2 linked regions of the Caenorhabditis elegans genome follow. The protein of the gene in region 1 purifies or fractionates together with the protein of each later gene. This does not show direct contact. Each region holds a gene or a part of one and is shown in the gene's direction. Other genes may lie near its edges. The genes, in order: T28C12.6 and ZK849.6.

Region 1 (16,332 bases):
AATTCAAGGTGAAGGTGGCAATAGAACGTTTTTCAACTGATAGTTTGACCAGTAGGTCAAAGTGAAATGGTGCTCAAACTACGAAGTCAAATATGAGTTTCTCTGTAGACTTTAATTGCTATTCTGTATTTGCAAAATATATTATTAGAGCATGTTCAGTTAAGGGTTGAAAAGTTGATAGATCAACCACTAAGTCAACTTCCAATTACGGAATTCCTAAATATTGAACAGTTACCTGCTGTTGAAGATCCGTAACCCGTCACGAAATCCAAAAAGACAAAGCGAACATAACCAGACAGGCTTGTGGGACTACTGGCCTGGAAGCCCTAGTTGATACCTTGGATATGATTGTATTTGTTCGCTCAACTCTAGGAATCTACAAACAAACAACTTACTAGCTCTATACTGACATCGATATCATGTTTTATCCGGCTTAGAATAGTAAAATCTTTTAAAGGGTCTATGTTTTTTCGGACACGTTGGTTGTCCCATCATCATAACCCATTTTCTTTTCCAGATGTGCAATTCAGAGCGGGAAATGATCTCAGGCTTATTCTTTTCTCAGCTCTACCATCTTCTCCTCCGCTCCTCATCCGTTATTTTGTGCATGTGTTTTCGATCAGTTACACATAATACGCACATCGTCGAGCAGCTGTTTTGCTCTGCGTCTCCAGGCTTCCCGCCTAACTTCTCCCGGTCGGCATGGGTCCGCTCGTTTGACCGCGTTTTTTGTCCACGCACACACACACACAAACACACACACACCCACAAAAAACTTCCGAGCTCCCGCATTCCACGCCATGAAGATTTCAGAAGTGCTTCGAGGAACACATGCACGAGAAAAGACCGAAAAAAAACGAGCCTGGCGACCAAGAACATGTCCTTTGGGAGGCCAGGATTAGAGCAGCAAGTCAGGGAAGTATTAGAAGTGAGCAGAAAGGGAGCAATGGTTGAAAAATATGAATCACGAGGTGAATTAATGAATGAACATAAATGGACATTGTTCATATCACCCAATTGATGCAATTTCGGAGCCAACTAGTTGGAGACCGATTATAATTTCAAAAATGTGATTTCAGCGCTCCTTAGAAATATTGATGGTTTGAGCAATAGTAAGCACTGGATGAAACTTGAATAATAAAGGGCAATATTTCTAGTTTGTCAAACTATAAATGTGGAAAAAACTTTGTCTTGAAGAAATACATACTTTTTAGTGAAGAAATTCAATTCAAACTTTAACGGCGAACAAAAAAGTTCAAGAAAAAATAGAGCTGTTTTATTTAAAAAAAAAACAGTCGACAAACAGATCGAGTGGTTTTCCACACTGTCAATTGTCAAATCATTGAAAAAATAATTTAGAATCTCAATTAGCTCGTTGTAATTCAAATTAGCTTTCATTTGAACGTTTTTTGTTATTTGAAACGAAAAAAAATTAAAGTTTGCGATTGCTTTCAAATTGTCGTCTACTAATCGCGGATCCCTAAATGTTTGTTCAGTAAATTCTGCCACGTGGCTTCCATACTTTTTGAAAATAAAATCACAAAAACCTGGAATGATCATTAGATTCCATGAAAACGCACTGATACTCTGTTTGATACAACCCTTGGGTTATTGATAAAAATACATTTCAATTGCCAGTTTAGTGTGACCAAAGCTAGTAATTACTTGTATACTTGAAAAATGTGCACTTCCAATTTTCCAAAGTCAAGAAAACAAAGTGTTCTGATCTACGAGTATAGTGCATGGGATTACGGTAGAATTGAATGAGAAAGTCTTAGTTTCTCCAACAACAAGAAAGTCAAGAAAAAAAAAACGAAAAAGTAACAAAAAGAATGCCCACTAAAAAGGTGTGAAAGGTGGCAAAAGTGTGTGGTTGTCCAGCAAAAAACTGGGGGACCCTTTCCCAGAAGAGGCGACCCGTCAACACTGCAGTTGTGGACTCGAAACTGCCAGTGCTGTCATGTTATGTGCGGTGTGCATTTTTTCGTTTATTTTCTCGTTTTTTTTCTTCTTCTTTCTCGACGTCTCTTTCTCTTCCCTTTTCAGTCACCACTGGAGGCTTTCTGTTTCATTCTAAGTCTCTTTCCCTTTTCAGTTTCGGCCAGTGGCCTCTCAACTCGACCACTTCTTAAGGCATGGCGACATTCGGGTTGAAAGCCCAGATTGGATGGGAAGGAAGAAATGGAAAAACGAAAGGAAATGAAGAAAAAGGACGATGATGATGATGGCAAAAAAGGAGAAGCAGTCGACGACCAACTGGGTGGACACTCGAGGAAGAAATAAAAAAACGACGAAGCAGTACGTCAGCTGATCCGAGAGTGGGCACCAATGCATCTCTCCCAACCAATAAAAAAGAAATGCAAAGCAAGAAAAAGAACTCACTGATTTGTTGAAGAAGTTTTCAGCATTGGCTTTTCAGAGCTCAATCTGGAAGGGAGAATTTTATTCAATGACAGGTTCATGGATTTTTATCGTCCCAAGAAGGAAAGTTCAAATTAAAAAAGGTTGTATTGATAACAAGCTGATAAAAAATCCTTTGAACAAATTAAAACAATAAGTCGACTTAGACTACTTCATAGAAAATGATCCACAAGTTCCGATTTTCTTAGTGTAGGTTTATAAAACAGTGAAAATATTCTTATCACCTTCACTTACATTATTTTGCGCAGATCTATGTATGGTAGTACCCAAATCATGTATCAAAGTTGTCAGAATTTTAGAAAATAGATACATATTTCTTAGAGTTGCTAAATTTCTAAAAATTTATAGTAACTTTGTTATCAGCTTGAGATAACTAAAGCTCCAAAACTACAACTAATTGTTTTCAAAATTTGAATTGTGACTCGGCTTCTACTAATAATAATAATGCACATAATAATCAACATCATTATCCACACCTTTGCCCTTGTTGTCCTCTTCCTTATTTTCTTCATCTTTTTTGGTTTATCCGAGTGCTTTGAGATTAATCAGCCCGCGCGTGTGCTCCACTTTCGACAACTAACTCTCTTCAACGGCTACTATACGAAAAAGCTAAAAAGTGCACTGAAACAGAGATCATGTATTCTGACTGATTGCAACATCATGAGCCAAATGAGAAACAAAACTTGACTTTTGGGAAAAAGTTAGAAGACTCATTAGGTTTCAGGTAAAAAAGATCGTCTCTGGAAAACTACAAAAAATTTAACACAATATCAACTTCAATTAGACAACCTGTTTATATCAGGATATCAGGAAAATTCGCCACAATCGGAAAAAATAATGTAGTATTTTCCTGGTAATTCCGGCAACTATCAAACTCCACTCTATTTCGAAAATCTAAAAATTTAAACTTGACATAATTTATCTAATTCAAGGTTTGAGATACTGTGACCATGCTCTAAAATTTTAGGAAAATTTAGAAAAAAAGCTTTGTATTTTCATGATGTCTCACTTTTTGAAGAACAGCAATTGGCAATCAGCGAAATTGCCGGAATTGCAATTGCTACTCTCGGAAATAGTTCTCATTTTCAAGACAGACCTGGGCACCCAGCGAGTTTAAATTCGACAAAATCTGTACATATTCAACTTAATTGCGCACCTCTTCAAAATTTTTTTTATTTTTTTCTCCCTATCTAAGGAATGTGTCGACAAGTGTCTTTTGTGAATGTGTAGTCATTTTTTCCATCTCGACAAATTGATCTGTATGATCAGGTTCAGAGTCCAGTACACCCGCTACTATCCAGCTTCACGTGTCTGTGCTGACTGCAATGTATCAAGAACACAGATGAATCCGGGCGCGCCGGCGCGAACACAAAAGAGGTGAATGGGTTGAGCGTCGTCGTCGTCGTTGTTGGTGTGTCAACAATAAGACAAACCATTTTCGGTCTGTGCATGTTTCCGTGCCATAAAACGCTGCCGTTCGCCACTCATTGGCTCAATTGGTCTGGCAGCTTAATTTACATTTATGAGCATTTTATCATAGAAAAAAAGTTCTCAAAAAAATTTATAAACGTATTCCGAATTCATAATTAAAACTGTAATATTCCAATCGTCTGAAAAATTATGAAAAATTTTTTTTAATCTCTCGAATTCATTCTTCGTGAGCGATAAACATTTTGAAATATAAAAACATTTTCTATGAACATGTGTTTGAAATCTACAAAAAAATTGGTTTTAATTTGACTATTAGACACAATTATGAACATCTAGCGCACTACTATTAGAGACCAAAAATCTCATTTTTATGAATTATGGTACTGTATTTTGGACCTATTTGGTCTAATTTTGAATACTGAAATATGATTTTGATTTAATCCACTATACATTGCCTTCGAATATTTTACTATCTGAAATTGTTTTCACCTTTTTCTCCCCAATCGTCACTGAATATTTTCTCTTTAATTCCTCCGGAAACTTTTTTTCAATCTCAATTGTTTCATTTTCTCTCTCAATTTCTTATTTGTACTCTCGATGATTCCAACATTATTTTCCTCTAACATCAGTCGGCAACAACTCAAAAATGTGTTGTATATCGTGTTTATTGCTCTTTGCATACAGATGCCGGTGCTCCCTCCTCCTCCTCCCGTACGCTCATGTGTTGTTCTGATCCGCAGCGCATACGATCTCCTTTCGTTTCACACCTCGGGTAGCAAAGAAGTGAAACATGCAACACATTGGCCGTCGTCTTGCCGTGCCGTTTCCTGTATATCAATTACCGTTGTGCACCTCCCCCGCCCCATTCCGATAATCCCCGACCCGTGAGAAAAATTTTAGAGTTCCAAAGATCAACACGTCTAACGACGAGATACGTGAATGATCAAGGCTTGAGAACCTGAAACTCCGTTCTTGTACACTTGTACTGGATTGTTTTATAAATCGTACGCTCAAATGTTCACTGAACAATGAATCTAGCATGTTCTAGATTGTTACCAATGAACCTCACAAAATGCACCGCTTTTCATATAAATAGGGCTCCAGTAGAGACCAAAAAGCTCACAAATTTAAAATTTCATTGATGTACAATTTTTAAAATTTGAGCTTGCTTTAAAAATGCGAATTGAATTATTTCTTTTTCATTTTAGAAATAACTATTTAAATCTGACGGTAAGCTGTAATCTAAATATACCTCAAATTGACAAAGTAGCTGAATTGGGAAAATTGGTTTAAGACACCCTACAAGATAATCCATCTAATTTTTTTTTTGAAAATGGATGAATTTTCAATTTACCTCTAATTCAAATTTGAATTACCGCGCTTTTTTGAGGGAAAACCTGAAATTTTTCCAATTTTCAAATAATGAATTAAAAATTTAGAAAAGTTTTTTGATTTGTTTTTTACTTTGGTATTTGTGGCGCATAGGAGCGTTTTAATGCAAATTCATCACAAGCGATGTTGCTAATTTAAATTGAAAAACTAGGTTTTAATATTTATGCTCAATGTTTTTTTTAGGAAAAATTAATTTTAAAATCCGGCTTGAAAGTTTCAAAAACATACGTACTCCCATTTCAAGCACTCCCCTTCTCATTTTCCATTAATTAATTTCTAATACATCTATCTGATCACTGTATTTAGACTGAACCCCCACTTCAAAGTGCATATATTTATCATTCTTTCATATCTCTTTATCTCTGAGCCAATCGGTGTTTTTTGCTCTAAATCGCGTGAAGGGCACTCACACATTTTGATACGGTGAGCTGCTCGCGGAGCCCAGAGCACCCCAAAGACCAGTTGACGCCTATATCACCGGAAACAAACCGATTGGCACAGTCTCTCGCTCCTTTTCCGCAGCCGCTGTTTGCGTTTCGGCCAATTATTGCCACCTTCGTATTATGATCCTAATGACTGTATTAGATTAAGAAGACGATTAATTTTTCATTTTTCTGACGTATAATACCGCCTGTTGAGATGAGCCGGATCACGTTGGTTGATGGGACGTACCGCCTCATTCCGTGAAACATTTCATTCTAGAGTTATCAAGTTTTCATTTTCTGGCATGAATCTCAGTTGCCTTTTCAGCTTAAATTTTTTGCTTATTGATTATTATAAATGCATGTAGTTTCAAAAACTAAAATATTATGCGACTTTGTTTTATAAAATTTTCAAAATTGTTTTTTTTTAAGTTTGTATTGTTTCTATTTTCCAATTAGTAATTTAATGCTATTAACTGCTTTGATATTTTTAAAATATTATTCTATCGTTTATATCGTTGAAATCATAATCTTAACAAAATTTTTGATGAATTTTTCCATTTGAAAATTTTGAATGTCCCATTATCTTGTAGAACAATTTTTGCATAAAATATTACTTTCCAATTTTCTCAAGCTTCAAGCTTTTGGTTTTAAAATTGTTCAAATAAAGTAAATCAGAAATTAAAATACTGTTTCAGGCTTTTATAATATTTTCTACAATTTGGTACAATTAGAAATATTAAAAAATTTTTGAGTATGAAGCTACCAAAATTAAAATCAAATTTGAATGATTAATTTCATTTTAAAAATTGAAGTAATGAAGCACAAAATATTGTTTAAAATTAACCGCTTTGATTTTATCGCCACATTTTATGTTGTTTTTCTTACTTCGGAAGAATTCAGTGTTCGAAATTTTTCAAAAAACCTCCCCGAGTCGAAATCCCTAAAAATTACATCTTTAACCATTGTATTTTGGTAAAACATATCAAGCTCCAAAAAAATTGCCCTTCGAAATCTCTATTTATGTCCGAATCAACAAACATTTATTTGCTTTTTCGCAGGTTCCCCTCTGCAAAAGGACATCTGGTAAATCTTATTAATATTCAATTTTTCCCATTTTATTCAAATCCTCCCAAATTTTGTTTTGAATTTTCTTTACTATGCGCACAAGTACGTTAAGCCCGCAAATTTCCAGTTTATCCCATATTATTGTGCTTACCCGCACCCCGTTGCTTTCCAGTACAGTACAAACAAAAACATTTGGGTGCCAATGGACACGGTAAACACACGTGAATCCACACGTTGCGTATTCCGGATCGTCTTTCATGTTGTTTCCAGTCTGCCTGTGTTGGCCTGACAGACTCAGTTACACCAAGACAATCCAATGACCAAAGAGTTAGAGAGTGTGTGAGAGGAAGAGACGCAGACACAAACAAAAGCGCCAAGAGGGAAGGGGCGGGCGGCACAGAGAGCACATAGCACGTTTTTTCAAAAGTTATTTTTTTCACGCACTTACCATTTAAATGTTGACAACTTACTTGCTTCTCGCGATGTTTTTGCTAAAACTCTATCTCTCTCCGTTCATTTAATATTTTCAGGAAATGATACAGTTGCTGTTGGTTGGTATCACAGTTGTCGGATCACAGCACATGACACTTTGTGATTATTATGAAAAACTTGGTGAGTAGAGCTAAATAATTTGAAGCAATTACTTTTTTAAAAATAATTTTCCAGTTTTGAGGTCAATTATTTTCTTTTTAGGAATAGCTAAATCAGAATGTGGACACATTATTAAACCACAGAAGGATATTGGTTTTTTCAATCCTCCATCTTACGACACACCAAACAATTTTAGGTGGGAAATTAAGAAAATATTATACACTTCTTAATACTATTATATTCAGGTTCAACAGTTATAATCCTAGCAGTAACAATGTGAACCCACAATTTAACGTTTTTCGGTCATATTCCAATGGTTAGTTTTTTTTGAAAATTCTTCTACTCTAACCATTAATTTCATAATTACAGATCTTGTTGGATCCCTCCCATTATGTCGTAACTATTTCCATTCTTGTATGACTTCCACATCTTGCGAATCAGGAACGATATGCACAAATGGATTAGAACAAGGATCGTGTTGCACGAATCCTAGCCAAGCTAGCTGCCCATCTGTAACATCTATGAACATCAACTGCAGAAAATTGAGAAGTGTGAACTGGTGGGTCTTAAAAGGCAAAAAAGTATTTAGGGGGCACCCGGAGTTGAACCAGGGACCTCTCGATCTGCAATCGAATGCTCTGCCACTGAGCTATACCCCACGAAAGAAACTTGACTTGCTAGCCGATAAGACAAATTTCTACGGAAAAGATAAGGAATGATAAGAGAGACTGTTCTTGCAGGTGTAACAATGATTTCGACTGTCGGGGAGGATCTACCACTGCTTCAATGTGTTGTCCAACTGGCTGTAATTATAACATGTGTGTACACGTTGGTGCACAAGTATATCACCCAAGAAGAAGCGTTGGTTAGTCTATAAGCATTTGGCTTGCAGCTTTTAAAAAATTCCCTTAACTTCCAGTCTTCAAATCATTATCGACAGCAGCTACAACACCTGATCAATGTCCAGATCCATACCAATTAGGGGTAAAATGTGTGGCAGCTAGAGGTTCGAATTGGTGTTATACTGATAGCGATTGCCGTAGTGGATTGTACACAAGAAAGTGAGTTATTTCTGAGAATAAATTTGATAAATTTGATTTTCGAAATTTTATAAACGGTTAAGTTTTTTTTCTTCGATTAGTAAAAGGATTTTTCCTGCTGGCGCCGAATTCAAAAAGGTGTGCGTCTTCAAAGATTACTGTAATTCTTAACTCTCATTGTTGCGTTTTCATAGTTTTTTTGACAGAAATATGTATATTCAACAACTAAAATAAAACAAAACAAGAACATTAATTTTGAGAAATTGTAAGAAAAAATCTGAAAAAAATCATGAAATTCGCAGAACCAAAGTTTGAGGTTGCATTATTCTTTAAAGGCGCAGACATTTTTGCATTCGATAAAAACTTGTCGTGACGAGACCGGGAAGCGTATATTTGACTCAAAAATTGCAAAACTTTGCGTCTGGGTGGTATATAAATTTAAAAAATTATTTAAAAACTATATATATTTTTTTGCATAAAAACACAAACAATTTGTTTTCTTTAAAAAAATAATACTTAAAAAATAATTCTATTCATTTATTGAAATACTTTTTTTAACCTGAATTTCACAAATGCATAGTACTTTGAGCACGAAGCTAAGAAAGAAAAAACAACACATTTTTAGCTAACGCAATTATTATTGATTTTGAAATTTTACGAAGCCCCTCGTTTTTCTGTTGGAAACTCATAAAATCTCAGATGCTGCGCCACAAATTGCGGATACAACACGTGTGTAATGAAGTTCAATGACAAGTGGATCATCGCCTAATCTCAAGTGTCATCAGAATCATGATTATGTCTGTAAATACCATAACTTTTTTTCATTATTGGGGTCTTTCTCTGCAGAACCAGTTACTAAATTTCTACTCAGAATCATTCATCTCTTTCCTTTTTGTGCCCATTTATTTTATCCGAGTGTGTCTGTTTTGTTCGAGAAGAATTTAATTTATATCAGAATATACTACATTTAGAATTGAAAAAACATGAATGAATGAGAAAAAAGTATTTTCATGACATTGACGATGACGAATCTTTGCACTTCTTGACCACTTTTAGTGGAACTAGTCTTTTGTAAAATATCAAAATTAAAACTATGGCAACAAGAAGAGTTGATGCTTGGAGAACAATCACGTAACGATACCCGCTGTATTTGAATATTGCTCTGAAAATATTTTATATGTGAGGAATATAAATTTTTTTATCTAGAAGATTGGAAGCATAAATTACGTTGACGTCTAAAGATTTTAATTTTGGCGACTGACTTCAAAATTAACTTTTAATTTGAATGTTAATAAAACACAATTTGGTAAACCCAAAAGCAAGATGCGATGCTTACAAATAAAACCAATTTTAAAAAGGTGTTTTTCTTATACTTACGTGGAAGAAATAGAAGCAATAACTGGGGCAAGGCTTCCCCCGAACGAGAAGAATCCCTGCATTGTGCCTTGTTTCCTTGGCCCTAAGATTTCAGAGAACAGTGCTGGAGCAGGTGTCTCTACGAATGGGAACGCAACACCAAAGAAAACAATAAAGCAGAATAAATATATGAAAAGTGGAACACGAGTTGTGTCATTACACCAGAGATACTCCGAATAACATCCTCCGGCGACTTTTGTTTCAACTCCTTTAGGTAAAAAGTTCAAAGGTCCAGAGTAGAATCCCCATGGATACATGAAAAGCTGGTAGAGAAGGAAAAATGTTAGTCCAAATAACATTTGCTTCCTTTTGTCACTGGAAAAATTCGTTTTCAAATTTTCAAGGCTCCGGTTAACATACATTCTTCCGATTCGCGTTGATCCTTGAGCAATGTTGAATGCCACTGAAATTGCACTACTAATGGCTAGTGCTATTCCATTGTAGAATATTGAGTCACTATCCTTCCAGTCATATAGAACTGTGGTCAAAGGAGAAGACATTCTTAAAAGAAAAGTTACATCGTTGTTTGAAATAAGTTCACTTACACTTCGATATTGGTCGCAGTCATGTTGACAATCATGAAAAGGTAAATACAAATTAGGGAAGCTGGGATATCAAACATTGGAACTTCCACTTCATCCTTCTCTTTTTCCTCTTTTGTCACTATTCCAGCGTAACTTTCTTTGAAGAATAAGTATACAACCAAACAAGCTGACAGGCAAATCAAAACCATCAAGTAAGAGACAATTGTGTACATGTTCAAAATGAAACCTCCAAATTGGATACCTTCTTCACCGAGTGGAGTGAAGATTGACTAAATAATTATTAATTTACTTCACTATAAAAAATTGTTAACGGAGCCTTACCGAGATAACAGGTCCAAATGAAAAACCGAGAACGAAGCCTCCGGTCCCGAAAGATATGGCTCTCATTCTGTCTTTTGGCGTAGATGCCATTGCTGCATAAACTCGAAGAGCTGCTATATTTCCAACGCCAAGGCCAGTCAAGAATCGAGCACATAACATGAACCATTTCACATTTCCGAAAAAGCCCAAAAGTGCGTACCATAATTGACCAACAGCTGCTATTAGGAAACCAGTGATAACAGGCCATTTCACAGACATTGTCTTTTGATTCCAGTATCCATAAATTGGATTAGCCTGGAATAAATATAAAGTTAAAATATATGCATGTAATTTCATGATGTTTATGTTATGTGGTAACTAATATTTACATTGTCCTGTTCTGAAAAAAAAATTCAAAGATTTGAATATAAACTGGGAGTTCTACAGACAAGTATTATATCAGTTTAAAATTGCTTTTCTCAAAAGATTGATTGAGGATAATTTTTGAATTTTCCCTCCAATATAAACTAAACCATAAAAAAAAAACAACTTACAATTGTACAACCAATACTGCAAGACGCAACAACCCACCCAAGAAAATCAAAATCTGCTGTTTTATCAAGCTGGAATGTTTGAAATTTTTTACTTTCCATATTGTCTATAAAACTTACTCCACTCAAATATGGCCACATTGACATGTAATATACAGAAATTTGAACACCTACTACAAACTGCATAACAATGGCAATCCACATGGATCTCCAATCTGTTCGCTTCTCGGCTTCAATCTTTTCGGACAGAATGATCTGCGTCATTTTGAAAATAAGGGAGATGCGAAGAATGAATTCTACTATAGACAACTACCCGGTGTTTATATAGCACAACATCATCTGAATAATCGCTCTCTTTCAGTATTTTGTGCGGTCAATTTTCGTTAACACTACAAAATGCGGGTTTCTAATAGATTTGACATTTCAACCTGTTCTAAAAAAGAAATCTAGGAATACATGATCATAACTATTCTATGGAAATATGAATTATTTATTGTTTTTGAATTTTTTGAACCCTCTGTCTATTTTAGTATATTTTCTTATTCATGTACATAGGTTCAGTGTAAGTGTTTATTGTGATTTATTAAAATTTTGATGACATCAAAACTAAAGCCACTTTTTTAAATATCTAATTTGTTCGCTTGTTAAATTTTCAATTATGAAGATTTTAAAAGAACTTACAAGAAAACGGTTTTACCTTCAAACTTAAAAACGAGACATATACATTAGTTCCATTTGAATTTTTTTTACCAATAATATGTAGATGCAAAATTTTGAGCGGCAATATTCCGTTCTCAACATTTAAAATTTAGTTCTGAAATTTTTCAGTGCATTACTATTTCCGAGACCCGTATAATTGCTCCAAAAGCTTAAAAAACGAGTTTTAATGTTTTTAGGGTGTTTAGGGGAATGGGGGACATTATTACAGTTTTTGATTTTTTTTTTTTAATTTCTGAAAATGTTTTTTCTCCAAGCCGCCAAAAAAATTTCAGACCTAAAAATTGGAATGTCTATTTTTTAGAACTTTTAAATTTTTTAATATCTTTTCAAAGAAAAGTGTTAATATAACTATAAGATTTGCAAAAAATGGATTTCAGATATGAAGTATAACAATTGAAAAACAAATGTGATTTTATTACATTATATTATATTGAAGACTCAAAAATTCAACAAATTAGAAAACACTAAAATCAACAATTTAAAACGCTATAATTATCATTCAATTGGAAATCTTCTCATCTTCTGACTTTTTAATAACTTTCAATGGGACAAGTCTCTTGTAAAATATTAAAATGAGTGCCGCTCCAACGAGAAGAAATACTGATTGAAGTACAATAACGTAGCGATAACCCGTATATTTGAAGATCGCTCTGAAAATGAAACATGAATTTTTAGGCGGAGCTTAATACTTACGTTGAAGAAATAGAAGCAATAACTGGAGCAATACTTCCACCGAGTGAGAAAAATCCCTGCATCGTGCCTTGTTTCCTTGGACCAAGAACTTCCGAATAAAGTGCCGCGGACGGTGTCTCCACAAATGGAAATGCAACTCCAAAGAATACAATAAAACAGAAAAGATACACGGACAGTGGGACCCTGGTAGTTTCCTGACACCAATGATATTCTACCAAGCATCCTCCCACTTCGGTAGTTTCAACACCTGGAGGCAAGAAGTTCAGTGGTCCCGAGTAGAATCCCCATGGATACATGAATGCCTGGTACAACAGAAATACGAAAATTCCGATCAACATTTGATTCCTCTTGTCACTGCAAAAATTGAAATAAAAAAATCAACTGTAGAAGTTCACCGACATTTTTCCAATTCTACTTGCACCCAATAACACATGGAAGATTACTGAAATAATACAACTCAAGGCCAATGTAATTCCATTATACAAAATCGAATCACTATCCTTCCAATCGTATAAAACAGTGGTCAATGGTGTTGACATTCTGAAAAACAAGTGATGCACTTTTGATATTTTTGAACTAAATCTTACACTTCCACATTGGTTGCGATAATGTTGACAATCATAAAAAGATAAATGCAAATAATTGCACTTGGGATATCAAACATTGGAACAACCAAATCGTCATTCGCTTTCTCTTCTTTCGTAACAATTCCAGCGTAACTTTCTTCGAAAAGAAAATAGATGACTACACATGACAAGAAGCATATTAAAGCCATAAGGTATGCAACAACAGTGAACATATTGAATACAATAGGTCCAATTGAAATTCCATAAGCTCCGAGAGGGGTGAATACTGCCTGAAATAAACAAGATAGGCTGATTCCAATAAACAAATTCCTACCGAAATAACAGGCCCAAATGAAATTCCAAGCACGAATCCTCCTGTTCCAAAAGAAATTGCTCTCATTCTATCCTTCGGTGTGGATGCAGTTGCCGCATAAACACGAAGAGCTGCAATGTTTCCAACTCCGAGACCAGTGAAGAAACGGGCGAAGAGCATTAGCCATTTGACATTTGTGGCAACTGTCAAAAGACCATACCATACTTGACCAACTGCAGCAATAAGGAAACCAGTTATAGCTGGCCATTTCACAGACATTGTCTTCTGGTTCCAGAATCCGTAAATTGGATTTGACTGCAAAACAACTGTTAGTTAAGATATTTTCAATTTATTTAAACTCACAATTGTGCATCCAATACTGCATGCAGCAACTATCCAGCCCAGAAAATCTACATCTGCAGTTTTGTCAAGCTAAAACACCGAATTGTGTTTTTGATCACATTTATATATACTTTACCCCGCTCAAGTATGGCCACATTGACATGTAGTATACAGAAATTTGAACTCCAACAATAAATTGAAGAAATATACAAATCCACATTGACTTCCAATCAGTCTGTTTTTCATTCAATATTCTCCCAGCGGACATTCTAACATAATAGCTTAATTATTAATTACTGACTATAACTCGACTTACTCAGCCTCTTTCTTTTTGTCCACCGATGGCCCAACTGAATCCGTCATTTCTCGACGATCTGGAAATGAACGCTACCAAAAAATAAAAATGAAACATTCAAACATTGATAATGAAAAGAGGAAAATGTGATCAAGAACATTGCTATTCTGCATTTCTATTGGTGTGCCATTTTATAGAGTTTACAATATCATCCCGCATTAAATTTGAATAATCTGCACTTGTCTTTTCGACTTTGTCCAGAGCTGATTTTTTGACCTCCCGCAGACACAAAATGTCATTGCATCATGCCACTCAATGTCATGCCATAAAACTTTGTAAACTGTAATATTGCTATTGTTTTCCAAAACAGCTTTCTATCTGAAACTTTGGAGCCATAAAAGGAGTTCCTTAAGTGGATAAAAACTTTATTATCCTAATATTCACGAGTTCATTGTTCCGAGTCGATTTTCTTCTTAATATTGAAAGCATTCGGTTGATAAGTGATGATGAATGTATCCTTTTTAGTTTTATAAGCAATTGAACCAGAGGAGTCTCTACGAGATGAGTTTGGATCGAAGACTCTAACAAACATTCTCGCATCGAAATCCACACTCTCACAAGTAAGTGATTTGAACACGGACGATTTTAGCAGAATTTCCTGAAAATGTATGTTGAAAAATTAACAAGTCGAAGAAAACTCACATCGCGAAATTTGATGATATCATCCATTAAAAAAGTTTCTCCCAAAAAGTTGAACTTCAATGATTCGAAATGGTAAAGATGCTTGACGATAAGTGAAAAATAAGCGACAGTAGTGAGTGAAAGAGTCTTTGCTTCTTCCCATTGATCGAGAATCACCAGTTCTTTGACGGAATCCTCATCAAATTCAAGAATTTCGATGTGTAAGCTCTCCAGAGTTTCAGGCTCAAAGTGTTTGAGAAGTGAAACGACTTGGTCAGTGTGAGCACAATCGAGAGATACCGACTTTGCCGACAAGATTCCAATCAATTGTAGAGCATCATGAATAGCTTTAAAGGAAACTTTTGGATTGACCATTGCCCATTGCCATTTGCCCATTGCCAAAATAACTCCAAAATAATCCATGCTCACATCTCGACCACTCAAGAGTGCCAACACATCATCCATCGCAACCTCCAACGGTTTCTTATCAGTGACAAACAGTTTCCGTTTCTTATAATTTACAGTACATCCTTTATCAAAGTCATCGTGGTAGAACACCGTACCATCATTTACATTCAAATCCACTGATTCCTCTTTTAAGGTCATCTCAATTTTCTTCAAGGCGGAGCGTTGATTGTCGATAATGCACCGAAAGTTACGGCAAACTGCACGTGCGGCGAACCTGAAAACATTTTATTTTCACAAAACTTCAAATTATGCAATCAAGTATTACCGATCAATTGGATTCAACATATCCAAAACCATCCTTTGAACAAAATTAGAAAAATCGGTAAACTTTTTCCTCTCGAACGCGTAAAATCTGAAACACGTATGCTAAGACTATGTTCGTTAAAAAACACAAACCTATCATATGAGTCTACGGTTAAACTCCCATTCGCAATTCCCATATACCAATATTCAAAGTGTCGGTATTCCATAAAATTATCTCCATATGTCTTGTTCATAGCTTTATATGCATTGAAAACTGGAACTCCTTGAAGATGTTGAAATAAAATACAGAGTCGCAATGCTCTAGGGTCCTTGACGATATATTTTGCTTTAGGATTAATTCTAAAAATAAAATTACATATTTATTAGAAGCATACACAGTTGGGTTTTGGCTACGTGGAACAGTCTAATCTCAGATTTTGTTTAAAATTACAGTCCAATGAACCAGATTCACGTAGCATAACCTTACAGTGACTTAGTGAAAAAACTTACTGTTGAATTGAAGCTGAATTGTTTGAACTTTTATTGAGACGTTTTCCGTTGCTGCTTGATGAATCGGGCATTTCGATGATTTGTAAAACCTTCGAAGTATCAAGAAATAAATCAATTTGTAATTTCATGGACGGTCAAGAGTTGTTTTCATGTGGAACATTTCACGTGTAACTCGACTTTCTCGATCTTTTTTTTTTTAAATTTTATTCAGTACGTCACAGACTCTAATTGTAAGAAAAATAATAAAAAACGTGAACATTTTTCCAGCATCTCTGCGGAAATTTTTTAAACAGTATAGCTCGTTATTTTAAAGTTCATTCTGTT
Region 2 (14,936 bases), on another chromosome or scaffold:
TTTAATAATTAACAATTTTTGATAATGTCATTCAGTGCAGAGTTATGAAGGTTTAAAGTTGAGCCGCAATATCACTGTGGACATCACAGTGGGCAGGAGTGTACTCTTTTTTCAAACCCTAATAACTCCGCGTAGAATAAAAATACCAAAAAGTTATCAACTGACAAAATGTAGAAAATTTTCCGCTCTACATTTTGTTAGTTAACAACTTTTTGATATTACTATTCACTGCAAAGTTATGGAGGCTTGAAGTTAAACCGCAATATCACTGTGTGCTGGAGAGTGTTCCATCTTTAAACCCCAATAACTCCGCGCAGAAAGGATACAAAAAGTTATCAACTGACAAAACGTAGAAAATTGTTCGCTCTACATTTCACAAGTTGACAACTTTTTAGTAACTTAGCTTTCAGTGGAATTACAAAGGTTTCAAGAATGCCGCAATTTACCTCTCAATATATGCTAAACTGTCCAGCGACTTTCTCCACCGATCCACCACACTAGAAACGAAGAAACCAAGCAAAAACTCCAAGGGTATCGTAAATTCCTGATGGGACAGCAAGTTTTCGACAATTTTTCTGATTTCACTGAAAAAAAGCTACATTTTAAAGAGTTTTTCCAGCGAAATCACTTACCGTTGACCTCCGCTCTTTGGTAAAACAAGTCGATAGATCACCATAAATAAAAAATACAAGCCAAGAAACAAACATAACTCTTTAAAAATCGCTGTAAATAAATTTCCTTTCCTTTTGAGCATAATCTGAATTTTTTAAACTTTAAGTAAACATTAATAACATTTTTGTCTAAAACTGTTAACCTACTTTGAAAAAATTGCGTAGAGCATTTCCAGTTGGAACATCTCGATAATATGGAACAGTCATCTGAAAAAGAGCGGTAACTTTGCCAAAAATTGAGATATCAAAAAGTTGTCAATTAATAAAATGTAGCAAATTATTTGTTTTACATTTTGCTAGTTGACAACTTTTTGATATCTCTTCCAGTTTCTAAGGTATGCGCCTTTAAAGTTGACAGCCGCTAAACTCACATTTTCCAACAGAAAGGTTAGTTGAGGAATGTTTGATTTATCGATTTTAAAACGTTTTTCAAAGTTTGCAACGTCAAAAGTTCCAAATATAAAAATAAACTCACGTGGAAAGTTTTAAAATTTAAAACTTAAAATTTTTTTGAAATTTGAAATTTCGCGTGAAAATCGAGTTTTTATTTTTTGGAAAATTGTGGGTCCCGCCACGAAAACTCATGGGGTACTGTAGGTATTGCACATATGCGGATCATATTTTACAAATATGCTAATCAGTATTTGAAACATACTGTAAAACAAAATCAGTCCAAAAACTTGAAAATTGACAAAATTATGAAGCTTTTAATTTTTGAAATTTTGCAAATATTGAAAACTTGCGTTCCGCCACGAAAACTCATGGGGTACTGTAGATTTTATAGGTTTGATTTTTAAAATTTTGCAACAAATTAACAATAATTTTCTAAACATTTTGAACTAAAAATCTCTTTAAAATATAAAAAACTTTAAACAGTTATACAATTTCAAACATTTTCAAAAAAAAATGTTGGGTCCCGCCACGAAAACTCATGGGGTACTGTAGATTTTTGAGATTTAATTTTAAAAAATTCTGTATCAAATTAACAATGATTTTCTACCCATTTTGAACTTAAAATCTCTCAAAAATCTAAAAAACTACAAATGCAATGTAATTTCAAACATTTTCAAGAATTTTTTAAATATTTTTCGAGTCCCGCCACGAAAACCCATGGGATACTGTAGGTTTTTAAGTAGTAAATGGCAAAATTTATTCAGTTATTGCTAAAGCTTTAATGCAAGTTTTAAGCCTAAAATTAGCTTTACATCTAAACAATTGAAAAAGATACGGAATTTTGAAAAAAAAATAATTTTAAAAAAGTGTTTAAATTTTTTCATTACGTGATAACTTTTTTGAAGTTTTGAAATTTGGAAGTTTTTCTTCAAATTAATCAATCAAAAATCAATACTTCAAATATCGATTTTTCATTCATTCCTTCCATTTTTCACTTTTCGAGGCAAAAAATCGAATCCGGTAAACCATGGTGTATTCCAATCAAGTAAGTGTTTTGATTCAGATTTCCAGTTTTAAAGCTGAAAAACTTGATTTTTCACCTAAAAATGTGCTAAAAATGCTACAAATATGCTCCAAAGCCCCCCAAAAATTCAATTTTCTATTTTCAGAAGCTCGCTTGGTTCGACTATTTGGCCTCTCCGATCATTCTTTGCTGGTATCTCGGAGTCTTCTCCGCATTTTTGCTCTTTGTCGTGAAGCCGTGTATGATTCCAAAGGGATCTGCGAAACAGGTATGAAATTTCAGATTTTTTTCAGAAAAAAAAAGTTTTTTTTAAATTTCAGCCATTCATGTACTGTGGGGAGAAGCCGTACAACAACCCAGCCCTCAGAGTTCGCTAGAAAATGAAGTTTTGTACTCAAATGTTATTTTGTCTGTTTATATGTTTGTTTTTTTGTATGCACCGAAAATTTCATAGTCTTCCGATGATTTTATTCTAACATGCAATTAACAATTAGGTGTGTGCGGAGCGGTCGCGTCGCGGGCGCGTCGCAGTCGCATCGCGGCTAGTTTCATTTTTTCAAATTGCCATAACTTGCTTCATATTTGAGCTAGAAGCCTGAAATTTTTGCAGGTGATTTTACAGAGCTAGGACTTTCATATTTAAAGTATTTAAATTTTAAATTCTTCCGCGTTGCGGTCGCGAATTTACTCTTCCAAGAATACAGACTCAAAATGTTTCCTTTCAAAAACAAATTTCGGACCCTGGAATTCCGGTTGTATGTTTTCCACAAAACCCCCTCTCTCTACTGTTAATCAAATTTCGCCTGCGCCGGCTCTTCCAGTTTTCTAATTAGATCAACGCAAACACACCATGTCTTTTTTTCTGGAGTATATACATACATGAAGTATAACACATTTTGAAAAAAATTGAACCGCGACGCGGCCGCACCGCACCGGAGAAAGTAGGAGGATCTAGTTTGGGCAAATGAAGGATATTAGGTAGAAGACTCAATCTGAAAGTTTCAGAGATTTACCGTTGTTAGCATCCAAGTTATGGCTGCTGGAACTCTGAATTGAACCGCGACGCGACACGCGACGCACCAAAATTTTTTTATTGGATTCTAGTTAAAAACTTGGAGAACATCGAAAATCGAATAAGAAGCACAATCTGAAATTTTTAAAGCTGCACAGTTCTTGGTTTTCGAGTTATGGCGACGTGTATTTTTCCGTGAGCCGCGACGCGACCGCGACGCACCCGTAAAACTTCAAGTGACCATTACTTCAGTAGAAGTGCATCTAAAAACCTGAAATTTAACGAACTAATTCAGTACTATGTTTAAATTATTTTTGCATAAAAATAAAAATTGAACCGCGACGCGACCGCGTTGCATGCCAAGAACTTCAGCAAGCTGTAACTTTGTTCAACTTAACTTTAACGCACTGAAATTTTTGGGGATTATTGAAACTCGTAGGAACCTGAAAATTTTCAGCATTTTCCCAAAGAAACTCTATATTCCAGTCAGAAAATTACAATTCCCTGCCCCCATGCTAAGCCACCGGCGGGATCAAGTGCTTAGTGGGGGTCACCACCTCCATCAACACTTTTTGTCACTTTTGAGACCCCGAGAAGCCGAAAATTTGAGTTAAGAGCTCTTGAGAACGGGAAAATTTTGGAGTAAAAAGAAAAAAAATACATCCATTTTTTGAAAAATTTTCAGGAGGAGCAAGTCACGCACACCGGAGAAGCCCAACCGAAGGTTCTAGAAAAAAAAAACGGGCGGACAGACACAAGTGTCTTCTTCTTCTTCCTTTTCTTTTACTGCTCCTCTTCCGCATAACAAGTGGCTGCTCCCGGAGACACCAGAAAATTGTGAATTTTCCGGAGCTTTTTCCTGTTTTTATTGGGCATTTGTAGGATTTGATAAGCGGAATATCGGAGCATCGTACTGGAAAATTTGCTTAATTTTTCTCATTTTGAGTAATTTTTCAAAAACGTTTTACCAAAACTTGCTCTTTCTGTACATTTTTCCACAGCGGCATTTCGGAGCATTGTACTAAGCCACGCCCACGTTTAGTACGATGCTCCGATAATACGATGAACTGTTTTTTTTTATTTCCAATTTTCTTATAGAGTTTCAAATATAATTTGACTGTATTTTCCGCTAATTTTTACTAGCGGAATATCAGAGCATCGTACTAAAAAGGGGCGTGGTCGGGTACAATGCTCCGATATACTGCTCATCAAAACTACTAAAAATCAGCAAATTGTGATGTTTTATTGCAAAAAGTTAGAGCAATAGTACCTCAACCCTTAACAAATAAGATTCTCAGTTACCGGGAAAACGGAGCGTCGTACCAAGCCACGCCCACTTTTAATACGATGCTCCGATATTCCGTTAATCTTAATACATTTTTTAAAACTCCAAACATTTCTTACAATTTTTAATTTTTCCGTAAATTTGGACTAGCGAAATATCGGAGCATCGTACTAAAAGTGGGCGTGGCCTAGTACGATACTCCGTTATTCCGATACTTGAACCCAAATGCAATTCCTAATGTGAAGGGGAAAAAGCTCGTAAAACTAGGATTAATGTGAATTTTGATTTTCTTTTTCAGAAATCTTTTCATTTTTTCATTTCTTACCCATTTCACAACGATGCTCCGATATTCCGGCATATCGGAGCATCGTACTAAATAAATTTTCTTTCAGGTATTACAAATGTCAGCACCTCATACAAGGCACATGTGCTCCGGATGTCGGAAAGTTGTGGTGAGTCTGGCGGAGCTCCAATATTCCCAAAAGCTTAGGCTTAGGCTTAGGCTCAGGCATAGGCTTAAGTTTAGGCTTAGGCTTAAGCCTAGTCTTGGGATCAGGCTTAGGCTTAGGCTTAGGCATAGGCTTAGACTTAGGCTTAAGTTAAGGCTTAGGCTTAGGCTCAGACTTAGGTTGAGGCGCCATTTACGTTTTTTTTGTAAAATTCTCTTCTGAAAATTTGAATTTTTTTTCAAATTTTCAACAAACGGAATATCGGAGCGTCGTACTAAACCACGCCCCTTTCTTGGTTGGACACTCCAAAATTCCGCTATCTAGAAACCTGCAAAATTTTCATCGAAATTCCACTAAAATCTATCTAATTACAGTGAATAGCACTACTTTTCACGAATTTTAGACCTGGGAACATCGGAGTGTCGTACTAGGCCACGCCCCTTACGACACTCCGATATCCCCGTAGCCAGTTTCCAATGTTTTCCGAGTTCTCAAAGTCTCTCGGGACCATTTTCATAACCAAAACTTGTCGCTTTTGAATGTTTAGAAGAGCCCCCCCCCACGCCTCCCCATCTTTTCGATATCTTCTTGCTTTGTGCTCCGAGAGCCCACCCCATCCTTTTTGTGTCCCATTTTGGTGATGTGGAAGCCCTCTTCTCCCGCGGACAATTAAGCACGGACTTCTTCGAAATTCCTCCCTTTTGTTGATTTACTCTTCAACTTTTAAAATGCTTTTAAACTTGAGTTGTTTAGTACGTTGCTCCGATATTCCGCTTGTGGAAAAAATTTGAAAGTTTCGAATTTTTATTAATTTTAATTAACACTTGACTGTGCACCTTGTGCCTTAAAAAATGTGACCCTTTTACCTTGAAAACTGAACATTTTGGTAGCGGAATTTCGGAGCATCGTACCAAAAAAGGGGCGTGGCTTAGTACGATGCTCCAGTATTCCGCTGACTGCCGAGTTTATTTAAAAAATTATATATGAATCTTAGTGCAAAAACAACTGAGCTTGTATCTATATTCAATATTTCGACAGCGGAATTTCGGAGCATCGTACCAAAAAAGGGGCGTGGCTTAGTACGACCGATTTTTTCAAAAAGTTGTTTTTTTCAATTAACCAAAACAACACCACGCTGTATTTTTTCAGTTCGAAGTCTGATTTAGGCAAAAGCCAAAAACTTTCCAAAAACTTTTGGCACATTTCCAACCCCGCCCCCAAAAACGTGTGTTTGGCTGGTGAGCTCCAGCCGTCCCTGGTGTATTGTTGTTCCAGGGGTGTCGCTGAAGGAAAAAAAATGCGATAAGCAGGCTCTTTTTTCCGGATTTTTTTTATCTTTTGGGCGGCTTTTCAACTAGTGGAATTTCGGAGCGTCGTAGTGGGCGGGGTTTAGTACAATGCTTTTATATTTTGATAATTTTTGAACGTTGTACTTTATTGATAGATTTTCTCAAAGTTTTGAAAAAATTATTAATGAAATAATTGACTTTTCTACAAGCGGAATTTCTGAGCGTTGTACCAAGAAAGGGGCGTGACCTGGTACAATGCTCCGTTATTCCGCTGGAGAGTTCCAAAAAAATAAATTCCAAAAATTTATCAGTTTTCAACTTTACAAATTTTTTAGAACATTTTCCAAACAAAAATTGCCAATTTTTTGCTCAAAGTTGATTTGTTTAAGAGCGGAATATTGGAGCATCGTAATAAGCCACGCCCACTACGATGTATGATGCTCTGGAATTTTGATGAACTGATTTTTTTTTCAGACTTCCAGTTTTTATGAGCTTTTAGTGTTTCAAATATAATTTGACAGTATTTTCGGTTAATTTTAACTAGCGGAATATCGGAGCATCGTACTAAAAGTGGGCGTGGGCTAGTACGATGCTCCGATATTACGCTCATGAAAACTGTTAAAAATCAGCAATTTATGATGTTTTTTTGCAAAAAAATAGAAAAATAGTACCTCAACCCTTAAACAAATAAGATTCTCAGTTACCGGGAATTCGGATCATCGTACTAAACCACGCCCACTTTTAGTACGATGCTCCGATATTCCACTAGACTTGATTAATTTTTTGAAATTCTTAAAATTTACTGGCGGAATATCGGAGCATCGTACTAAAAGTGGACGTGGCCTAGTACGATACTCCGTTATTCCGCTGGCTGGAATTTTCTTGTAGTTTTGAAGTTTTGAGCAACTTTGATGATTCTAAATGAAATTTTATTGAGAAACACCGCGGAATTTCGGAGCATCGTACCATGAACCAGGCATGGCCTAGCTACTCAAAAATTTCAAAAACGTTCAGCGGGATATCGGAGCATCGTAGTAACAAATGAACAAAGTCCTATCTGTCTGGCGGCACCTAATTTGCATATCTCAAGTACCTTCTTCTCCTTCTCCAAAAAAAAAACTTTTTTGGTTTTTTTTCGGCTCCGCCACCCCAAAAAAAATGCTAAACTTTCTTCAGTTTTCAACCAAAATCTTCCCGTTTTCCTCCTCAGAAATATGATCTCCCATGGGCGTAATTGTGCTCTTTTCCTATCCCCGTCTTCTTCTAATTGTTCATGCTCAGCTTACACGGAGCATCTCGCTCCAAAATCTTTGGGAAAAAAATGGGGTTGGATTGATGGATGGGTTGTGGCAGGGACGAGGGGATGTATGTATGTATATGCCAATATGTCACTCTGGAATTGGGCAAGGATGGGTACTATAATATATTGACTCGTTGTACGTCTTTTCCAATTTTTGGAGCTGTTTTCCAAGTAGATTTTCCGTTCCGAAAATATTTTTTCAGTTTACTTTAGGTTTGTTTTCCTTTAAAAAAATTATAAATGACGTCATACTTGTTAGTGATGTGCCATGAGCAAAAACTCAGGTTTTGGCTGAGGCTTACTCGGCATTTGGAGGCAACTTCCAGCCAAATTATGGCAACTTCCTGCCAAGTTTTGCTTGTTTCCAACTTCCTGCCATATTTTGCCAACTTCCTGCCAAATTTTGGCAACATCCTGCCAGCATGTAGCATGCATGGCTTTGGCAACAGTCTGCCAACAGTCTGCCAAACTTCGGCATCAGCTTGCCAACAGCCTGCCAAACTTTTTGGCAACATTTACGGTAAACATGACGCACTGGCGTAATTTCGGAGCATCGGTGCTTTACAGCCGAACTTCAAAATTGAATTTATTCAAACTTTGCGGTGGAACTATCGAATTTCGAATTTTAAAAAGCTAACAGTGATAGAAAAATTAGTAGCTTATCATAAAATGAAAGCAAAGTGGGAATAAGAACGCATACTACACGAAAAACGAAGTAGGATAACTTCATGTCGTCGCGGCTTCTGAATTAATGTTGTAAAACATGTTGTTAAGAAAACCCGACTTGATAGAACGAGCTATGCAAAATTGTTTATTCTTTGAGAACAGTTACATCAACTTGCTTACAATAGTCCTTTACATCACCATGTTCTAGAATTACATGTTGGGCATTTCAGAGCTACTTATCTGTGTTTACCTCCTTGAAACTATTTTCTTCAACATTTTTTTACAAGTTTCCATTGGATTTCATATTTGAACAACTCTATTCTACTTTATCTTGCGCGCGGGCATAGCTTAGAGGTTAAGGAATTGGGCTGACAGTCACAAGGAGAAGGTTCGGGATCTGGTAGGGCAGAAAAAGGGAAACATGACAGTGCAAGTTGATATCCAGCCGATTGGACTAATTCAAAAAGTAACGTTTTTTTTTCTAATTTTACCTTGTTCTGGTTGAATCGTATGTATGCTAAATTCATTTTATTGATCCCCTTAATACAAAAATAACCATAATCAGTTGAAAAAAAACGAAAAAAAGAATTTTTACTGACAACACCTGGGCAACTTCCTGCCAACTTCGTGGCAACTTCCTGCCAACAATTTGGCAACTTATTTTAGTGGCACTAAATAAGTTGCCAGGTTGTTGGCAGGAAGTTGTCAAAGTGTTGCAGGAAGTTGCCTCTGAATGCCGAGTAGGCTTAGGCTTAGACTTAGTCTTAGGCTTAGGCTTAGGCTTAGGCTTAGGCTTAGGGTCAGGCTTACATTTAGGTTTAGGCTCAGGCTAAGCACCTAGACTTGTTTCTGTCTAGAATTGAATAATTGTGATATAGAATTTTCTTAAAACTAGGAAATCAACTTAGACAGGGTTTTTCTCAGCTTGTTTGTACGATATTTAAAAATTTTAAACTACAGAATCATAGAAAAACCGAAAATCAATTTTTTTGTCAGTTGACGAATTTTTGATAGCACCAAAATTAGCCGAGATATCGACTGTCAAAGTCAGTTGATTTGGTGTCGATGCACCATAAGCAGAGACTAGGTCACCATACTTCGGAATTTGATTTTTATAAATTTTTGGATTTATACATGCAAAAATTGTAAAAAAAACATGTGATCAATATTTATTCAGTGCTGAACCTATACTCTTTATATATTTAATTAATTTATAACACTTTCAATTAAAAAAAAAAACATAAATATTCGTTGTAAAATTATTTTTAACAATTTGAACAAAAAAACCATTTTTCGTAACTCAGTGAGGGGGAGGACAACCGCCGAGCGAGCGGGAAATAGATCAAACTATGGATAAGACATCTTGTGTGCATAGGAGCACCTAACAGTTTATGTAGAAGTTTTCTACATTTTTGGTGTTAAAATTTTTTAATCTATGTATCTATGTATGTTAATCTATGTATGAGCTATCAAATGAGCTATCAAAGATGAGCAAAAACTTTTGGACATGATGCATTGAAGGCTGTCCCTGTTTGAAGCTTTTATCTGTTTAGCTTTTTGAAAAACTTTACAAAATACCTTGTTTTAAGACATGGTGCATATATCACTGATGTCTTTTGTTTTATCAGGCAGCTGACAACTAACAAAGTATTTTTTGAAACTTGCAAATTGAGCCGAAATATAAGACATCTAGAAAACTTCAATTATGGTCTTGTTGAAAAAAAAAGAAGAAGATGATCTTCAGCCATCATCACGTTTAGCCGAAACGGAACTTTTGCGTTTCACATTTCCTCTCCCGCTCCCCCCGCCACCGCTGCTTCGACTCCTTAACATAATTTTCGGCGCACCCCGTACACGGAGACAATGTGATTTGGCGAACCTCTCTCTCTTTCTGTGTCTCTAGCCTTTCTCACATGGCTCAAGCCAAGGGGGGGGGCTCATCTTACTTCTTGATCCGCTTTTTCGACTCTGCTCATAAGCTCAGTTTCGAGTGGAGACTATGTTCCAGGATGGTGGTTATTCTCAGAGTGGCTCACCGACATGGCCCGGTTATTCTTATACTCAATTTTTAGAGCTTTTCATTTCAAATGTAAGTTTATTTTTAAGTTTCAAAATTATATTTCAAGCCCGACGGGCTCCAGAATGCTGAATTTTGTTCCAGATATTCTTTGGAATTTAACTAGGCTTGTAGTGAAGTCCCGTAAGCTTGTGGCTCTAATAAAAAGGGACCGTAGAGAAGCCCAGATATTTAAAATCTAAAGGGAAACTGTTTGACCAGAAGATTAGAGCCCAGTTGTCTTAGATTAGCCTAGTAAAAGTCCGGAAGCCCAGAACTCTCAAAATAATTACGAGCACCTGTAGCCCACAAGTGCCTAATTTCTGACTGTCAAGCTTGTCGACCCGTACTGTCAAGGAACTTTGTCCAAGCTCAGCTAGGCCCGTTCAAGCCCACATGACTGTAAACGCATTGGGATTAGAAGCCAGGATAGGATATACCATGATCCAATGCACCATGACCCCACGGAACCAGATAGTGCCTCCATTTACCATAATGTACAAAAAAAATTCAGCCTTCTGATGGTCCCGTCATACTTTTAGGCAAGCTTGGGCTCTCAAATGAGCACAAAATCCCAAAATCCCACTTTGTTTTCAACTCATTAGACGTTGAAAAAATGGAAAAATCAAGCTTCCTCCATTAAAAACCAATTCCAAAAAGGCGACTCCAAATTGAATTAGCTTTGCGCAGAGAGCATGCAGAGGAAGTCGTTCAGATGAATAGTGGTCAATATAAAGGAAGCGGGGATAATAATTATCGGATACTTTTCAACTACTACCGCTTGTTAGTGTTCGGCTAGTAATAGAAGTGCCAAAAAATCGTCGAGTGGAATTATAGCGTGTTAGGTCGTAAGGGGTAGAAACTCAAAGAAGGTGGATTCCTTTTAAAAAAAACCTTAAAATCTTGTTAGATCGGAGTAGCTTCATCTTAGGTTGGAGTAAAAATTCCACATTCTCAGGCCGGACTAGAAACCCCATAGGTCGAACTAGAAGCCTAATAGGTCGGACAAGGACTCTGCGGAGTATAACCCCCTAGTTCGGTAAAGAATAATCTTAGGTCAAAACAGTATCACTTTAGGTCGGAGTAGAATCCGCTTAGGTCAAAGTAAAATCTCGAAATCTTAGATCGGAGTAGAATTCTAAAATCTCAGGTCGGGGTAAAGTTTTTTAGGCCGGGGCAGAGTCTCAAACTTTTAGGTTTAGGGAGAACCCCTTGGGGTTGAAGTAAAATTTCATTAGGTCAAAGTAGGCTCCCTTTAGGCCGGTGTAGATCCTAGAGCTCCTAGATCGGAGTAGATTTCTAAAGTCTTAGGTCGGAGTAGAACCTCAAAAGTTAGATCGGAATAGGACCCTAAAAACATTAGATCGGAGTAGATTTCTAAAATCTTGGGCCGGAGTAAAGTTCTTTTGGATCGGAGCAGAGCGTCCTTGGGTTGAAGTAGAATCTCATTAGGTCAAGGAAGGGCCTAGAGTAGATCCTAGAACTCCTAGATCGGAGTAGATTTCTAAAGTCTTAGGTCGGACTAGAACCCCGTTAAGTCAAAGTAAAACCCTATTAGGTCGGATCAAAACCATTCAGGTCTACTTAGCACCTATAGGTCAGTGTAGAACACCCATAGGTCGGAGTAAAACCCCCAATTTCGTAGTTAAAGTAATTATCGTATACTTTTCAACTGTGCAACAAAGAGGGAACAAAAATGCGAAAAACTTTTGATTTGGTGTGAAAGTATACCCATTGACACACACACACATGAAGCTCCCGGAATTGGGGTCCCTCCTCTCTTTTTCTTCGTCCTCTTCCACTCTCTCTCTCTACCATTCCCACCCCATTTTTTTTCTTAAAAACGAGCGAGGCATCTTCTTATTCCTCACAGAGCCCCCCGACGCCTTTCTCTAGAAAAGACGGGAAGAAAACGACAATTGGATTATCCGGTGTCCCCCGACGGCTCTTTTCCACCCTATTCCAACAAACACACACACACACACACCCAGTTCTCCACACATATCATCATCATCATCATCATCATCATCACCCCGAAACTAGTGTTTTACTAAAAAAATGAGCCATTGTGCGGCTTGCTCTGGCGCCAGGCTTCAGGCCCAGACTGTGCTTAGGGTGGACCCGGAGTCTGAGTATTTTGAGTGTGAAGCTTCTGCGGTGAGTGATTTGGGCTTTCTAGGTTCTAAGCCTAGTCAAGCCCGGCTTTTTTATCCTCTTGGTTTGAGTCTACCAAGCCTAGCTAAACCCGGATCCTTGATCCATCCGTTCTTGGAAACCAATAATTCGAATTAGATTTCCCATTGACTAGCCTAGACTTATGAAGCCTATCATTGTTGAGCTAAACTAGGCCCGGTACCTTGAAACTTCCCGCCTAGTCTGAAACGACAACTGACTGGACCGGGCCCTTTTCAGCTTAGCCTGAATCATATTTATCCAAGTATTTGCCCATTTAGGCCCGAATTTTTGGTCCGATCAGCTTATCTTATTCCTTATTCCAAATCAGGGCTCTTTTCACAACAGTTTGCTCAGCTAGGCCATATAAGCCAGAGCCGTCAAATTTTCTAATGACTAGCCGGGATCCTTGATCCTTTCAACTCAGCCAAACTTTGATCGGAACCCTGCCCTCCCCTTGATTACCCCTAAAACCTCAAAATTTCCAGATGGAAGGTGGCTCAGGATGGACAGAATCATTGGAGAAAGACTTCGACAAAGCATTCGTCTCACTGGATCTCCTGCTAGGAGAAGTCGACTCGGACCAGGTAAGAGCTTAGAACTTCAGGCCACCTGATCAAGCCCAGGTCCACAAAATCCTAACGTATCCAGGTTGAGATCACCTACGAGGGCCGGCAGAAGATGACGTCATTGAGCGCCTGCTTTGCACAAATGATGCACAAGTGTCAGTTCATGATGCACACAATTAGTAAACAGGAGAAGGTGAGTTTAGGCTTGCTGAAAAAAGTTGGATTGTTAATTTTTTCAGGAAATGATAACAATGCGCGCCGAGGTCGTGGAAGCCCGCGCCGCTCGACAGAGCATGGAGAAGGAAGTGGAGCAGTTGATGATCCAAGTTCACTCATTACAATGCCAACTGCATTCCAAGACGGCGCCGCATGAGTCAGACATGATTAAGAAGAAGCTGGAGACCCAGCTGACACAGTTTCGATCAGAGCTTACACAGGGTTTGAGCACGGTTTGTGAGCTGGAAATTGCAAGAAAGGAGTGTGATCGGTCAAAACGGACGATTCAGGCCTTGGAGACTGAGGTCTTCGGGGCCAGGCTGGCGGCAAAGTACCTGGATAAGGTAGGCCATCGGGCTTTAAGGCTTTAAGGCTTCAAGGCTTTACATACCCTAATCTTCCAGGAACTCGCAGGCCGGATACAACAAATCCAGCTCCTGGGACGAAACATGCGCGGCGTGGAGCACGACAGGCTCTGGAACCAGCTGGAAGCCGAAATTCACCTCCACAGGCACAAGACAGTGATCCGGGCTTGCAGGTAGGCGGTCACGTTTCCCATGGCCGCTCCCCACTTGAACAATTTGCCATTCTTGCAGAGGACGGGGTAACACGAAGGGATTAACGGCGCCACTTCGTCACAACTTCAAGAGCCTCCGAAAACGAAATGGAGTGGGAAAGAGCAGGAAAGTGGTGCTCTCGAAACACCCGCACGAAGGGCTCGGCATTTCTATTACGGTAGGTGGGGGGACTTGGATGGTTTTGGGCCAGTAGATCATTGACTAGACTTGTTCCTTTGGGGATCCACGGGATCCTGTAAGATCTGAGAGTTGATCCAGTTCCCGTAAGACCAAATGTGCCATCTGATTATGAGGTACTTTTGCACGTGGTGTCAGGCTGTCCCATTGCGGTTTGATCTACAAAAAATGCGGGAATTTTTCTCCCAGTCAGTTGAAAAGTCTGCGTCTCTTTTCCCGCATTTTTTGTAGATCAATGTAGATCAATCTAAAATGAGACACTCTGACAACCCCTGCTTTTGTAGTTCTGCTGCATAGCTCAAAACTACTCCAGATAGTTTGCGGAGCTCCGGATGGATCCTAGTTCTTCAAGATCTTAAAAAATCCTACTGGATCCTAAAATCCATTTCCAGGGAGGATCCGAACACGCTCTACCCATAGTGATATCTGAAATCCAGCCGGGACAGCCTGCTGACCGATGTGGACAGGTCTTTGTGGGCGACGCGATTCTCTCAGTAAACGGCTACGATCTTCGGACTGTCAAGCATCAGGAGGCAGTGGATATTTTGAGTGGGCAGGTAAGATGCTGCCAGGGGCCCTCCACCTACATCCCCTCCAAATTCCAGGTACAGCAAGGCGACCTAGACCTGGAGCTCGTCTTTGTGTGCCCCGATGAGGATAGTGATGATGATGGGACGGTGACGATCGAGCACAGCGATGGATCTATGTGAGTTATTGGGAATTTTTCGGCGGGAAATTTGAATTTCCAGTTAGTTTTTAGCGGGAAATTTAAATATTCAATCGATTTTCAGCTGGAAATTTTGATTTTCTGTTAATTTTTGGCGGGATTTTCATATTGCCAGTTAATTTTAGGCGGGATTTTTAAATTTCCAATTGATTTTGAGCTAGAAATTCAAGTTATAAGTCAGTTTTAGGGAGGAAATTCAAATTCTCAGTTAACATTTAACTGGAAATTTAATTTTTTAGTTAATTTTTCAACTGGAAAATCAAAATTTTGGTCATTTTTCAATAGAAAATTCAAATTTTTTGTCGTTTTACTATAGGAAATTCAAATTTTTAGTCAATTTGCGACAAAAAAT

The links.
Region 2: the proteins of T28C12.6 (region 1) and ZK849.6 fractionate together in Caenorhabditis elegans (co-fractionation; one large-scale study listed by BioGRID). This does not show direct contact.

What each region holds. Positions count from the first base shown.
Region 1 is NC_003283.11:6,327,050-6,343,381, reverse strand, and holds T28C12.6 (WAP domain-containing protein), read left to right. Parts: upstream 1-7,262; 5' UTR 7,263-7,267; coding exon 7,268-7,346; intron 7,347-7,427; coding exon 7,428-7,521; intron 7,522-7,570; coding exon 7,571-7,641; intron 7,642-7,694; coding exon 7,695-7,884; intron 7,885-7,912; exon of another isoform or gene 7,913-7,984; intron 7,985-8,065; coding exon 8,066-8,190; intron 8,191-8,244; coding exon 8,245-8,386; intron 8,387-9,064; coding exon 9,065-9,134; 3' UTR 9,135-9,368; downstream 9,369-16,332. Other genes in the region: T28C12.1 (Major facilitator superfamily (MFS) profile domain-containing protein), read right to left, coding at 9,374-9,527, 9,743-10,096, 10,142-10,282, 10,327-10,595, 10,648-10,941, 11,181-11,249, 11,298-11,441; T28C12.2 (Major facilitator superfamily (MFS) profile domain-containing protein), read right to left, coding at 12,397-12,547, 12,591-12,944, 12,990-13,130, 13,178-13,446, 13,491-13,784, 13,833-13,901, 13,948-14,080, 14,128-14,174; fbxa-202 (F-box domain-containing protein), read right to left, coding at 14,555-14,764, 14,809-15,469, 15,521-15,607, 15,652-15,858, 16,009-16,079.
Region 2 is NC_003279.8:14,186,163-14,201,098, reverse strand, and holds ZK849.6 (NADH dehydrogenase subunit 1), read left to right. Parts: upstream 1-1,962; 5' UTR 1,963-2,091; coding exon 2,092-2,109; intron 2,110-2,233; coding exon 2,234-2,356; intron 2,357-2,408; coding exon 2,409-2,465; 3' UTR 2,466-2,488; downstream 2,489-14,936. Other genes in the region: best-26 (Bestrophin homolog 26), read right to left, coding at 447-584, 633-757, 819-878; gopc-1 (Golgi-associated PDZ and coiled-coil motif-containing protein), read left to right, coding at 12,204-12,302, 12,806-12,904, 12,969-13,079, 13,126-13,446, 13,507-13,640, 13,699-13,837, 14,250-14,414, 14,463-14,563.